3 linked regions of the Coturnix japonica genome follow. The protein of the gene in region 1 purifies or fractionates together with the protein of each later gene. This does not show direct contact. Links are inferred from orthologs where the notes say so. Each region holds a gene or a part of one and is shown on either strand. Other genes may lie near its edges. The genes, in order: NF2, AMOTL1 and AMOTL2.

The links.
Region 2: the proteins of NF2 (region 1) and AMOTL1 purify together in Homo sapiens (affinity purification with mass spectrometry; 6 studies listed by BioGRID and IntAct, counting the BioPlex papers as one, with this or other methods). This does not show direct contact. The link is inferred for Coturnix japonica from reciprocal best matches to the Homo sapiens genes NF2 and AMOTL1.
Region 3: the proteins of NF2 (region 1) and AMOTL2 purify together in Homo sapiens (affinity purification with mass spectrometry; 5 studies listed by BioGRID and IntAct, with this or other methods). This does not show direct contact. The link is inferred for Coturnix japonica from reciprocal best matches to the Homo sapiens genes NF2 and AMOTL2.

Annotation. Positions count from the first base shown.
Region 1 is NC_029530.1:9,885,840-9,889,481, reverse strand, and holds part of NF2 (merlin), read left to right. Parts: intron 1-214; coding exon 215-432; intron 433-1,108; coding exon 1,109-1,214; intron 1,215-3,642. UniProt on the Homo sapiens protein: Probable regulator of the Hippo/SWH (Sav/Wts/Hpo) signaling pathway, a signaling pathway that plays a pivotal role in tumor suppression by restricting proliferation and promoting apoptosis.
Region 2 is NC_029516.1:165,956,105-165,959,746, reverse strand, and holds part of AMOTL1 (angiomotin-like protein 1), read left to right. Parts: intron 1-1,220; coding exon 1,221-2,115; intron 2,116-3,642. UniProt on the Homo sapiens protein: Inhibits the Wnt/beta-catenin signaling pathway, probably by recruiting CTNNB1 to recycling endosomes and hence preventing its translocation to the nucleus.
Region 3 is NC_029524.1:3,377,419-3,381,857, reverse strand, and holds the start of AMOTL2 (angiomotin-like protein 2), read right to left. Parts: upstream 2,942-4,439; 5' UTR 2,810-2,941; intron 2,697-2,809; 5' UTR 2,645-2,696; coding exon 1,971-2,644; intron 818-1,970; coding exon 586-817; intron 1-585. UniProt on the Homo sapiens protein: Regulates the translocation of phosphorylated SRC to peripheral cell-matrix adhesion sites. Required for proper architecture of actin filaments.

The sequences.
Region 1 (3,642 bases):
CTGATAAAGGAGCACAAAGGAGAATGAGTTGGGACGGAGCCTTGCTGTGTCCAGGTTTTGGCTGCAGGAAGCTGCAGGCTTTCATGGAAGAGAGGGGGACTTGGTGAGCCACGATGGTCATGTGGAATGTTCAGTTTGGGGCCTTGCTCCAGGCTTGAGAGCACATTCGAGGGGACATTGTGTGCTTGCTGACTTAACATGTGTTTATTCTCAGATGAGGTCTGAAGAGACAGCTGATTTGCTGGCTGAGAAGGCTCAGATCACGGAGGAGGAGGCAAAGCTCCTGGCTCAGAAAGCAGCAGAGGCTGAGCAAGAGATGCAGCGAATCAAAGCCACGGCCATTCGGACGGAGGAGGAGAAGCGACTGATGGAACAGAAGGTGCTAGAAGCTGAGATGTTGGCACTGAAAATGGCGGAGGAGTCAGAGAGGAGGTCAGAGGGTACAACCTTGCAGCTGTCTCTGCTTTGCTTTCCAGCCCCCTTCTGACTTAGCAAAACTGTGGCTCACCTTGAGGTAGTTCAGAGTTTGCAGTGAGTCCTTGGCCTCCCCTGCATGCACAACAGCAACTGACCCCAAGGCTCAGCTGATTTCTCTCTGTTTTGCTGTTTGCCACAACTAGGCTATCCCTGCATAGGAAATGGTACAGGTAGAACAGTGGTGGCCCTGATTTTTCTTTGATCAGACGTCCCTTCTTTGAAGCCCTTTTATTGGAAGGGTTGATGCTATGGTGAAAGGAACAGGGAAAGGGGACATCACCTAGAGGGCCCTGGTGCTCTGCCTTTCACGCCCTGACAGCAACAGCTGAAGGGAGCTCAACTTATGGGTCTTTTCCTCTCCTGGCATTCTGATGTGCTGCTCCACCCCTTAGCTTTGCTTACTGCTGCTCATGCAGAGTTCGTGCCAGAGCTGTCCTTCTATGGCGTGGATTTTTGTGCTAGTTAGTGTCCTACATGTCAGAGGTTCCAGTGTTTCCCTTACCCAAATGATTTCTTTGTTTAGGCCTTGCTAAGGGATAACTCTCTACCTGTTTTACACCTATGGTGTAATCATGTTTATCAGCCTCCAAACTTGGACCTAACATTGCCTTTTGCTGTTCTTCCTTGGTAGGGCAAAGGAGGCTGATCAGCTAAAGCAGGACCTTCAGGAGGCTCGAGAGTCTGAGCGGAGAGCAAAGCAGAAGCTTTTGGAAATCACCAGCAAGTCATCCTACACGGTAAGAATCATCAGTATTGTCATTGCTAGTTTCCAGACAGTAACTGGCATCCTCCGTAGTCTAGAGCAGTCTTGTGTCTCTATCCCATCAGTAGGGGGGTATGAATCATCTCACTGTATTGCTTAGTAGCTGTTCTGTAATACTTAGGAGCACTTGCCCTTTTCGTCTAAGTAACTTGTCCACCAGAACGCTTTGCTCACCTTTTTCCCCCTATCTATCTTGCTTTATTCTACAAAGGCCAGAGAGCTGCCGATGGAATTAAATGCAACAAACTGTAAAGTAATCTAAGAAACGTGCCGTGCTTTGCATGTGGAGTTGACCAGCTCTGTAAGAGCTTTTAAAATAGGATTAAATACAGAACTGAGGATGGTCTGATACTTGTTAGGAAGAATGAATATTGTTCCAAATCTGTGAATTCATTCTCAGGCATAAACTGGTCTCTGTGCATCTATGTGCTGAAAAACCAACTTCATTGAAGGGGGAGTGTTCTGTAATTGCCCATTAAGAGGATTTCACACCTTCCTCTGAAGCATCTGGTCCTGATTGCTGCCAGGGACTGAAACACCAGACTAAAAGACCACTGCTCCCATTCTGTCTGGCAGTTCCTTTCCTCAGCTTCCCTAATTGTGCTGCAGGACCTGCAGATGCCATCAGGCGCTCCTTCCCCACAGCTTGCACCTGCCATGACTGCCTTTGCTGCTGCACTTTGTCCAGAGAGGTGAAGGGGGAAGAACTTGACATCTTCAGGAATAAACTCAACAGACATACGTGGGAGTTACTGACCTGTCTAGTACTGAAGCTTTAATTTGTACGTGTTAGCTCCTTTCCTCCCTCTCCCCTCAAAACTTCTGGGAAGCAGATTGAAGAGGGTTAGTGATGAAGAAGCTTTTCATCCAGATTCTCTGAAGATCCCTGCAGAAACATTCAGAAGCGTTTAAGAAACGGCAACGATGGAAAATAGTCGGGTGTTTTTAGCCTCAGGGCCTTCAGTCAAGTGCTGTAAGGCTTGATGCTTTCTAAACCTTATCTTTGGAGAGCTCCTTATGTTGCTGCAGGGTTCTGGGATCCACCAGTTTGTGAATTCTGAGCTTAATTTACTCACAGGGTGGAGCATACTTGTTGGAAACCTACTGAATGGCTACATCAGCCCAGTGCTGATGTCTGGGCAGAGCTCTCACATCCAGGTTCCCTCACGTGGCTGTGCTCATCCTTAGTCAAACGAGCAGAACCACAGCTAGTGAGCTCTTGTGCATAAATCCCTGTGCTGCCCGCACTAGCGATCAGCAGCGTGACTGTATTCCTGCCTGTGGAGTTAAAGCCTAATTACAGGAGGTAGTGCAGGATTGCATGGAGCTCAGCTCCACCCCTCCAGCTGCATCTGTCCTAGAGGCAATCTGTGCAGAGCTGCCGCCTCCAGTCACAAAGTGCTGTATCCTCCTTTCCTCAAAGAGCTGTGGCTTGCCTTTTTCTCTCCCCATTTAGATGACAGAGTCCCCTCTCATAGCTCTTCTTGCCCCCTCCCAGCCATGGGAGCAGCACTGCATCACACAGACGCAATGTCTGTTGCTTTTCCAAGGCCAGCTGGCTGTCTTATGTCTGTTAGACTTGTATCCATGTGACAGTAACTTGCTGGGCCCTTGTGTGTGAAGCACCCCATCTCCATCCCTTGTTACACCTGCCTCATGTTTCTCTTCCTTTGTAGCGTCTCTCACTCTGCCACGTGAGTGCTTTGGGACAGATGAGTGAGATGTGCTGAAATGCTTCTCCTGCGCAGGATTGGGCTGAAGGGACTGTGCTGGGCAGGCGCAGTAGCAGAGAGGGAATAAACCCAAAGTGGCCTGAGGGATGAAGGGTTTTGAAAGCTGCTGCTGGGAGGCTGGTGTCCCTCAGGTGAATGGCAGCTCTGCCAAACGGTACCAGATTCCAGCTCTTCTCTTCCTTAATGAGGGTGTAACGCTGAGCTTGTTATTTTTCTTTCTCCCAGAGTTTGTGCTGTAGTCCCCTGGCATGGAGTGCAAGCCAGAACTTCCCTCCTGGGAAACAAGCAAAAGAGGAAGGGAGGAGAGGATGGATGTGTTACAGAAATGACAAGAAGCAGTTAAAATTTTTCTTTGGTAATTTTCCAGTTCCTTGTACTGGCTTTTTAGAACTTGTTCAGGTGTCTTTTTAGACCTTGAAGCCAAAACTGCTTTTGTGATGGTGGTGGTGGATAATGCACAGGAAAGAAAAAACAAACCTGAGTTTCAGGCCGCCAATGCTGGGAGAACAATTCATTCCTTACTGACTTGGCAGTGCCTCCTGCCTCCTTTGCTGCCATTCAGGTACCAGTCACAGCAAGACTAAAGGCAGTCATCTCTTCTGTGATTCTTTGGGATATGAAGGGCCTGCCCAAGTCTTCAGGTAGCAAAGTGAAGGCAGTGGCAGCAGC
Region 2 (3,642 bases), on another chromosome or scaffold:
TTGAATGCCAAGAAAACAAACACAAGTACTGCTGAGGAACTCCTTTGAGAATTGGAAACAGCAGGATAGAGAAGGGAAGTTGCCAAAAATGACCTCAAAAACTGAACTCAGAACAGCACCTCCTCCTTGCCTAGGAAAATGGGAGGACTCTGCGGAGCTGAGGGCTAATTTTCACTTCTACCCCCACCAGGAGCACTCCTTTGGTGTAGGCACAAATACCTCACAACTCTTTGGGATGGGTGCACAAGTGAGGATCCAGCTAGGAGGGATTATGCCTTGCTCCAAGCAAGCTTCACTGTGTGCATCGCTTTCTATAACTAATGCTCATGTTGCTGTGCAGAACAAACAGGACTGAGATGAAGAAGGGAGCTGGAGGCTGTGTTGGTATTTGACCTAACCCCTGAGCTGAGTGGCTTCACTCCAGTTACAGCATCTGTAACACCTTATCCCATGCAAATGCAGCTTTTGAGGCTGGGTGAAGTTATACCTTGTCTCTGCATTACTTCAGTATGTGTGATGGTTGTCTGTCTGATCTGTGATGCTTAAAGTTCTGGTACTACACTGCGACCTTTATCATCTTCCTTTTATTCACCCAGCAAAATTACAAAAGTTGGTATTGACTTGCACTGAAATGGTGTTACTGGCCAGAAGGGAAAATGCAGTTTTAAGAGAGAATGCCAGAGCACAGATTTCCTCTTCAATTATGCTCCCAGAACTCTTTTTATTTTCAGAAGGATTTCAGGCTTTTTCTGTGATGCATCCTGTGCTGTATCTGATTGTGGCATGCAGTGCACTTGTGAGGGGATTCAGCTCTCTAACTTCAGCTGTCAAAAATGCGCTGTCTCATTTGGTATTGCTATGGAGGCTGCCTCTGAAATCTGTGCCAGGAGTCTCCAGGGAGGGATTTACCCAATTCCTGTTTTAGAGGAGATCACGTTTCCCTGTCCCACCATTGACTGGGGTGAGAGGTTGGAGCCGTGGGTAGGGGGGGGCCTGTGGAGAATGTTGAGGGGAGGGCTGGGGAAGTGATGGGGTCACTTCTCTTAATCAGAATTAGGGGTGAGCTGCCATAAGGAAATGAGAGTGGTGTAAAAGAATGGTACAGCTGCAGGGGGTAAGAGGAGCAGAGGGAGTGAGGCCCCCTTATGAAGAACACGGTGCTATTATTAGGTGGCCCAAAATAAGGTGTACTCCTAACCACTGCCTTCTCTTCCACCCAGCCGAGGAAGCCCTCTGCACCTTGCACCCTCCAGCCTTCCTCCGGAGCTCAGAGGTGGAGATGCGAGGCTCGGAGGAGGTGGCAGCCGGCACGGTCCTGCAGCGCCTGATCCAGGAGCAGCTGAGGTATGGCAACCCCAGCGAGAACATGAACCTGCTGGCCATCCAGCACCAAGCGACGGGCAGCGCCGGCCCCTCCAACAGCACTGCCAGCACTCTCTCTTCCACAGAAAACCTCGCGCCCGAGGACCCACAAATGGTCCAGCCATCGGCGCGGCAGGAACCGCAGGGGCAGGAGCACCAGGGGGACGGTGCTGCGATGGAGAAGCAGCCCCGGGCCGCACAGCCCCCACACAGCAGCGAGGAGCTCCCCACCTACGAGGAGGCCAAAGCGCAGTCGCAGTATTTCCGTGGGCAGCCACCGGCAGGGCCGGGTTTTTATGTCGCTGGTTCCTCTGGCCAGAAGTCCAGGACGGAGGGGAGGCCGACGGTGACTCGGGCCGGCAGCGGGCAGGCGCATAAGGATGATGCACTGAAGGAGCTGAAGCAGGGCCACGTGCGCTCGCTGAGCGAGAGGATCATGCAGCTCTCACTGGAGAGAAACGGGGCCAAGCAGCACCCGCCTGCCCCAGCAGGCAGCAAGGGGCTGAAGGCTGCCCCGGCACCCAGCAAGGGCATGGACCCGCGGGGCCCACCGCCCGAGTACCCCTACAAGGCCAAGGCGGCAGCAACGGTGTCCCCCAGCAGCAAGGCACCTGATCATGGGCTCTTCTATGGTGAGCAGCACCCAGCAGGGCCGCAGGACGTCCTCAAGGCCTCCTACATGGCCCCGCAGCCCTCCAGGACCGAGGTGGCCGTTGTCCGTTACCAGCCGCCCCCGGAGTATGGGGTGACCAGGTAATGCCCAGGGTGTGGGCCTGGCAGCTCGTGGCCATGGGGACCTGGTTGCCTTAAAGGCTTTCTCTTTCACCACTCTTTTAGATCTTGATATGAAAAGCTGGGAAGACTCCTGGCTGTCCAGCCAACCTTGTGTCCAGCTCTTGCTGTGTTTCTGTGTTGAGGTGTTGAAATGCAGGGCTGTGTCGGGGCAGCAACTGGGTTGTAACTGTTGTAATTCATATGGAAGAGCAGAAGTTTGGAGATGAGGTTTCACCTGTAACTGCATAAGGAGCGCACTCTAAGAGTGTGAAAGCTTATAACATAAACCTTGTATCCTTGAGATCTTCAGAACCCCAAATTAAGAAAAGGAAAAGTGGAAAAACCTGCATGAAGCTTAATTGTGAGATAGAGATATCTCTTTATTTCACATCTTTCTTCGCTTGATGGTGGGGTGAAATTGTTCCCTTTACGAAGAGGGCTAGATAAAGTGTATACATCACTTAGGCCCTACTTAAATTCTCCAAACAAAGCTTACATGAGACTTTTATGGAGCTTGGCCCCTTGTGCTGGGCCTCTGCATGTGGATGATTTTATTCCAAGCACATTACAAATAATCCACAGTGTTTATTTCCTGTGAGCTGATTGCTGAGAGCCACACGGCTCCTGCCAGCACTGCGCTGCCCAGCTCTGAAGGCAGGGGCTGGCCTGTGCCATGTCACAGCTTCCTTCATCATCTGTCCTTCCAGAGCTGTTTTTCTTGCTGTTCCTAAACACAAATGAGTCTCCATTTCATCCTTCAGCCTCCTAGGCGGTATTTTGCCAGCCTCACTGGGTTCACCCCACAAATCCTCATGTGAGGAGGGAAGTGTGGCTAGGAACCCACACACCTTGGCAGGTAACTGCTGAAGGAGATGGGATAACCACAGTTGTGGCTTAATTTGTTTGTTCTTCTGTGGCTGGCTGTCAAAGGGAATGCTGCCTTTGTAGTCACTGTGCTGAAATCTTGTAACTTGTCTGTAAATAGCAGTAGGACTGATACGGGATGTAGGATTTGATACTGCAGATATGAGTAGTGGTGTTGGAGTAGATGATCTTGGATGTTCCCTTCCAACCAGGCCACTAAGATGATCGGGGGGCTGGAGCACCACTCCTGTGAAGAAAGGAACTGGGCTTGTTTAGTTTGAAGTGAAGGCACAGGGGAGACCTCATTGTGGCCTTCCAGTACTTGAAGGAAGTGTATAAACAGGAGGTGGAATGGCTGCTTACATGGGTTGGTAGCGAAGGGACAAGTTGGAATGGTTTTAAACCAAGACAAGGGAGGTTTAGGTTAGATATTAGGAGGAAGTTTTTCACACAGAGGATGGTGACGCACTGGAACAGGTTGCCCAAGGAGGCTGTGGATGCCCCATCCCTGGAGGCATTCAAGGCCAGGCTGGATGTGGCTCTGGGCAGCCTGGTCTGGTGGTTGGTGACCCTGCACATATCAGGGGGTTGGAACTGGGTGATCACTGTGGTCCTTTTCAGCCCAGGCTGTTTTAGGATTCT
Region 3 (4,439 bases), on another chromosome or scaffold:
GTGCCTCCCAGTGTCCGTCTGTCCAGCAGGGAACAGCCCTGTCCTTGTGCAAAGCTGTACAAAGGGCTTTCTGTGGTGGCCGGGCACGCTCCTGGGGCGGGTGGAGACAGCCTGAGTGCTACTGGAGCCTCAGAATGGGCTCTTTTTCCCCTCTCTTCCACACTTGGCCAAGGAGCCGTGCTGCCACCAAAGCGCAGCTGCTTGCTGTGGGGGGCAGCCACCGGAGGGAGGGGGCAGAGATTAAAACACAAAAGGGGGTGAATTTTCACAGCAGCTGCTTGATCCTGCCCCAGGCGGCAAGGAAGCAAATGCACGAGCTCGCTCAAAAACAAGGGACAAAGCCGCACTGTGCAGATGAGGCCATTTCCAGGTGTACCTGCTCTCAGCCTAAACCTGCTGCCCGTGACACGGCAGGAGGTCAATGAGCCCTTCCCTTCCCCCCAAGGGATGGATGCTGGTGGGTGAGGTGCTGGGTGGGAGCAGAGGTGGGCTGAGCATCTGCACCCATTGCCCACATCCCAAATAACCAGCAGGGCTGGGGTCCTGCATCCTCAGCGTGCTGACAGGAAGCAAAGGCCAGCTCACCTTCTGGATCCTGCTGGCTTTCTCCGTGCAGCTCTCCAGCTCCCGTCGCAGCCTCTCATTGTCCAGCAGCAGCCTCTCATTCTCCCGCATCACAGCATCCACCTGGGCCAGCCGGCTGCCAGCTGAGGCCGCCTGTGCACTCACCAGGGCCTCCACACCAGCAGGGCTGAGAGAGCCCAGCGTGCTCGGTGAGGGCAGGAACGCTGCGGGGACGGGTGCTGGCATCAGCCTGCTGGGGGGAAAGAGAGGGGTGCTCAGCCACTTCATGGGGATGGACACACTGGCCACCACAAGCACCCTGCCCACATGTTCTCCTCTGTCAACCAACCCGTGTGGATACGCAGAGCTCCTGAAGCACCTTTGGACAAAAGAGGTGCTGGGTGCCCATGGGTCATGCTCAGGAGGATGAGTGCTCAACCTGCCCTGCACAGCTGGGAAGGGTTGGCTTTGGGCACACAAAATACGAAGGAAACCCCATCTGACAGCACTGCCTGCAGCTTGAGCACCTCCACACCCAGGATTTAAGCACCTGAGAACATCAGGACTTGACTGCTAGGCCGGGGGGGGGGGGTCAGGGGGGCTCAGTACCACCCTGCTGCTGGGTGATGCAGTCAAGAAAAACCCTCAGCAAAGATGTATGTTGGAAACCTGCAGCACTACCACTTCTCCTCATGGTTTCCTGGGCAAGGAGAGGGCTCCTGGCTCCAAGCCTTGCCACCACACTGTTAATACAACCCCATTCTATCACCCAGAGTTCCTCGACATCCCATGGCTGCCTCAGCCATCCTGAGCCATGTGGCCGCCGTGCTGGAGCCTGCATTCCTATGGGGTGATCCAGGAGCGAGGAAGAACAAATGCATCTTCCTCACAGTTCTGCTTCCCCTCTTTGTTCCCTGGAAGGAGAGCTGTTTCCTGCCAGAAATGCTATCACTCCCTGCCCTGGTAAGTCAGCTTGGAGCTCCTGCCTATAGCAATTCCATGCCAGAACACCACACTTCCCAGCCTTCCCTGAGCACCAGGAGATGCCCAAATCTCCACACCCACAGACCTCCAAGCAGAGGCAGGTTTTGCTGGAGGTGTCAATGGGCTGGAAGGAAGGAGCAGTGCTCAGCGCTCCCATACACTCTGCTGGAAGGCACGGGGCCGGGGGCACCCTCAGCCGGGGAGGCCAGGCAGCTTTTTCCACTCCGAGCAGCACATTTTCCTTCCACGCTGGCTCACGCCTGTTCCGAATTTAGCCATTTCCTGACCTGCCTCCAACTCCTGCATTAACCCCGAATCCCTCCCGGAGCAGCGGAGTTTTCACTGCCGGATGGAAATCCTGAACCAACCGAGGCAAACCGGGGCCAACCAGCACCCAAGAAGCGGCGAGGGCTGTGGGTTACCTGACTTCGGGGTGCTGGAAGCCGGCCCCGTCCCGGGAGCAGGGCCGGGACAGGTAAGCGACGGCCGCCTCCTGGCTGGGGAGGATGTAGGGATACTCCGGTGGAGGCCCGCGAGGCTCCGTTCCCTCGGGGCGCTGCCCTCGCAGGGTGTATTGCCGGGAGAGCTGCGGGAAGCTGTGGGACGAGCTGATGGGGCCGTGCGCTTTGGCCCCGTTCCTTTCCAGCGACATCTGCATCAGCCGTTCGCTCAGCGACCGCACGTGGCCGTGCTTCAGCTCCTTCAGGGCGTCGTCGGGGCGTCGGGTGCCGCCGTGCTGCTGCCCTGCCCGCTGCCCCGCGTAGTATTGCGAGTGCGCCTTGGCCTCCTCGTAGCTGGGGAGCTCCTCGCCCTTGTGCTGGGGCTGTGCCGGGCGGTATCCGCCGTGCTCGTTGTACAGGTGGTCGGCGTGGTGCTCCTGGCCCTGCGGCTCCTGCCGGGCGGACTGCGGCACCATCTGGCTCTCCTCCTGGGTCAGACTCTCCAGCGACGAGCGGGGGCTGCCGGCCGTGCCGCCGCGCAGCGCCTGTTGCTGGATGGCCAGCAGCGTGCGGTTCTCCGTCAGGTTCCCGTAGCGCAGCTGCTCCTGGATCAGGCGCTGCAGCACCGTCCCGCTCGAGTCCTCCGCCGTCCTCATCTCCGCCGCGTTCCGTCCGTCCGTCCGGGGGCTCTACGAGCGACGCGGGCACCTGCGGGGGGACACGGGGACGTCAGCGGGATTGGGGCCGGAGGAACGCGGCTCTCCCCACGGCTGTGCGGCTCCTCGGGGACGGGGGATTGGGGGGAGGGCGGCGGTACTTACCGGGGCATGGCGGAGCGGCGAGGCCGTGCTGCCGCTCGGGGAACGAGGCCACTGCCGACTGCGGGCCCCGCCGGTAGCGGGGGCCGGGCTCGGGCGCTGCTATGCCCGGAATGCGGGGCCGGGCCCGCCCCGCCCCGCCGCCACCTCCTCCTCCTCCCCGTCCTCGCTCCGCCGCCAGGGGGAGCAGCGCCCGCCCCACCGCCATTCGGGGCTGGGCCGGTCGGTGTCGGCGCTGGGCCGGGGGCTGCCGAGGGGTTGGGGCAGCAGCTGCCGCCCGGGGGGGCTCCGAGGCTGTGCCCGCCAGCTGCCCGCCTGCATAAATCTTCGTGCCTGATCCCGGCCCCGAGAGACGCGCCATTGTCTCCCGGCCCTACAAAAAAAAACCGCGGCCCCATCTGCTCTGCCCTCTGCCAGCGCCGCTCCCCTTCCCCAGCGCAGCCCCCCGACCCCCGCCTCTCGTGCGGGATACACGCGTGCTTTGCTCCTTCCCTTTGTGGGGTGCAGCAGGTCGGGACCCGCGGCACGGAGCCCGGGGCTGCCCGGCTTTGCGGAGCCGCTTCCCCGTCGTGCGGCCGCAGCGGAGGAGCCGCGGGACCCCCAGCGCCGGGCACGTCCGCCCGCGGGGCCCCGAGACGGCAGATGGTCCGAGGGGCGGCCGAGGAGCAGGTGCAGGGAAAATTGCTAATTAGATACGGGACATTAAGCTCTCATTCTTGAGAGAGGGAATTTGGCACCTTCCAAAGGCCGAACAAAGCCCGGAGCGCGCCGACGGGCTCTTCCTTTTGCCATCCTTTGGGGGGCTTTGTCTGGGGGGAGGAAAGGGACTGGCTGTGGGTAACGCTCTCTGCTCGGCCAGACACCGCTGCATCCTTCAGAGGCACAGATGCACGCTGCACAACCTGAAATTCGGCCAGCCTCCCCTGCCGGCCCCCAACCATGGAGGTATCGGGCTGACGTTCAGCACCCAGCCGCTCACTGACTGATAACGGGGCTGAGAAACGAGCCCTGGACACAGAGCAGGTGTGGGCGAGATCCCAAACCCTACCGGGGGTCTCTTAGTGGGATGGGGGCACCCAGCATGCCGGAGGTCCCAGCTGCCCCCCCGGCTCATCCAGCAGCCTTATCTATGCCTGCGTCATCCCGCTTCCCTTCCTATCTCCACACCGCTCTATTTTTGGCAGCAGGAAACCCCTCCTGGGCTGATAACAGCACTTTGGAAAGTGATCTGAAGAGGAAAAGCCCTCTGCTCCTCTTTTTCTTTCTAACACGGCAGATATGGGAAGCTTCCACCTTTCCATGCTCCCCCTGGACGAGCCTGACCAGCTGCTGGCTTCTTCACACAGCCCTTCCCCATCCACAGACCCACACAGACCCACTGCTTCCCATCAGAAGATGAAGCACGTGGAAAGGTGAAAGCAGCCCACAAAGCCCAGACTTGGCTGTTGTGCAGGGAAGGGATGCAGGGGCTGGAGATGGAGATGGAGATGTGCGGTGCTGTGTCAAAGGCGAGATGCTCGGAATGCTTGTGACTGCCAATAGCCATCCCGGAGCTTCAGATCCTCTTAGCTGTGAGATTAGATATCAGATGAGTCGGTATCTCCTTTTAGAGATGAACAGGCAGAACCAGTGT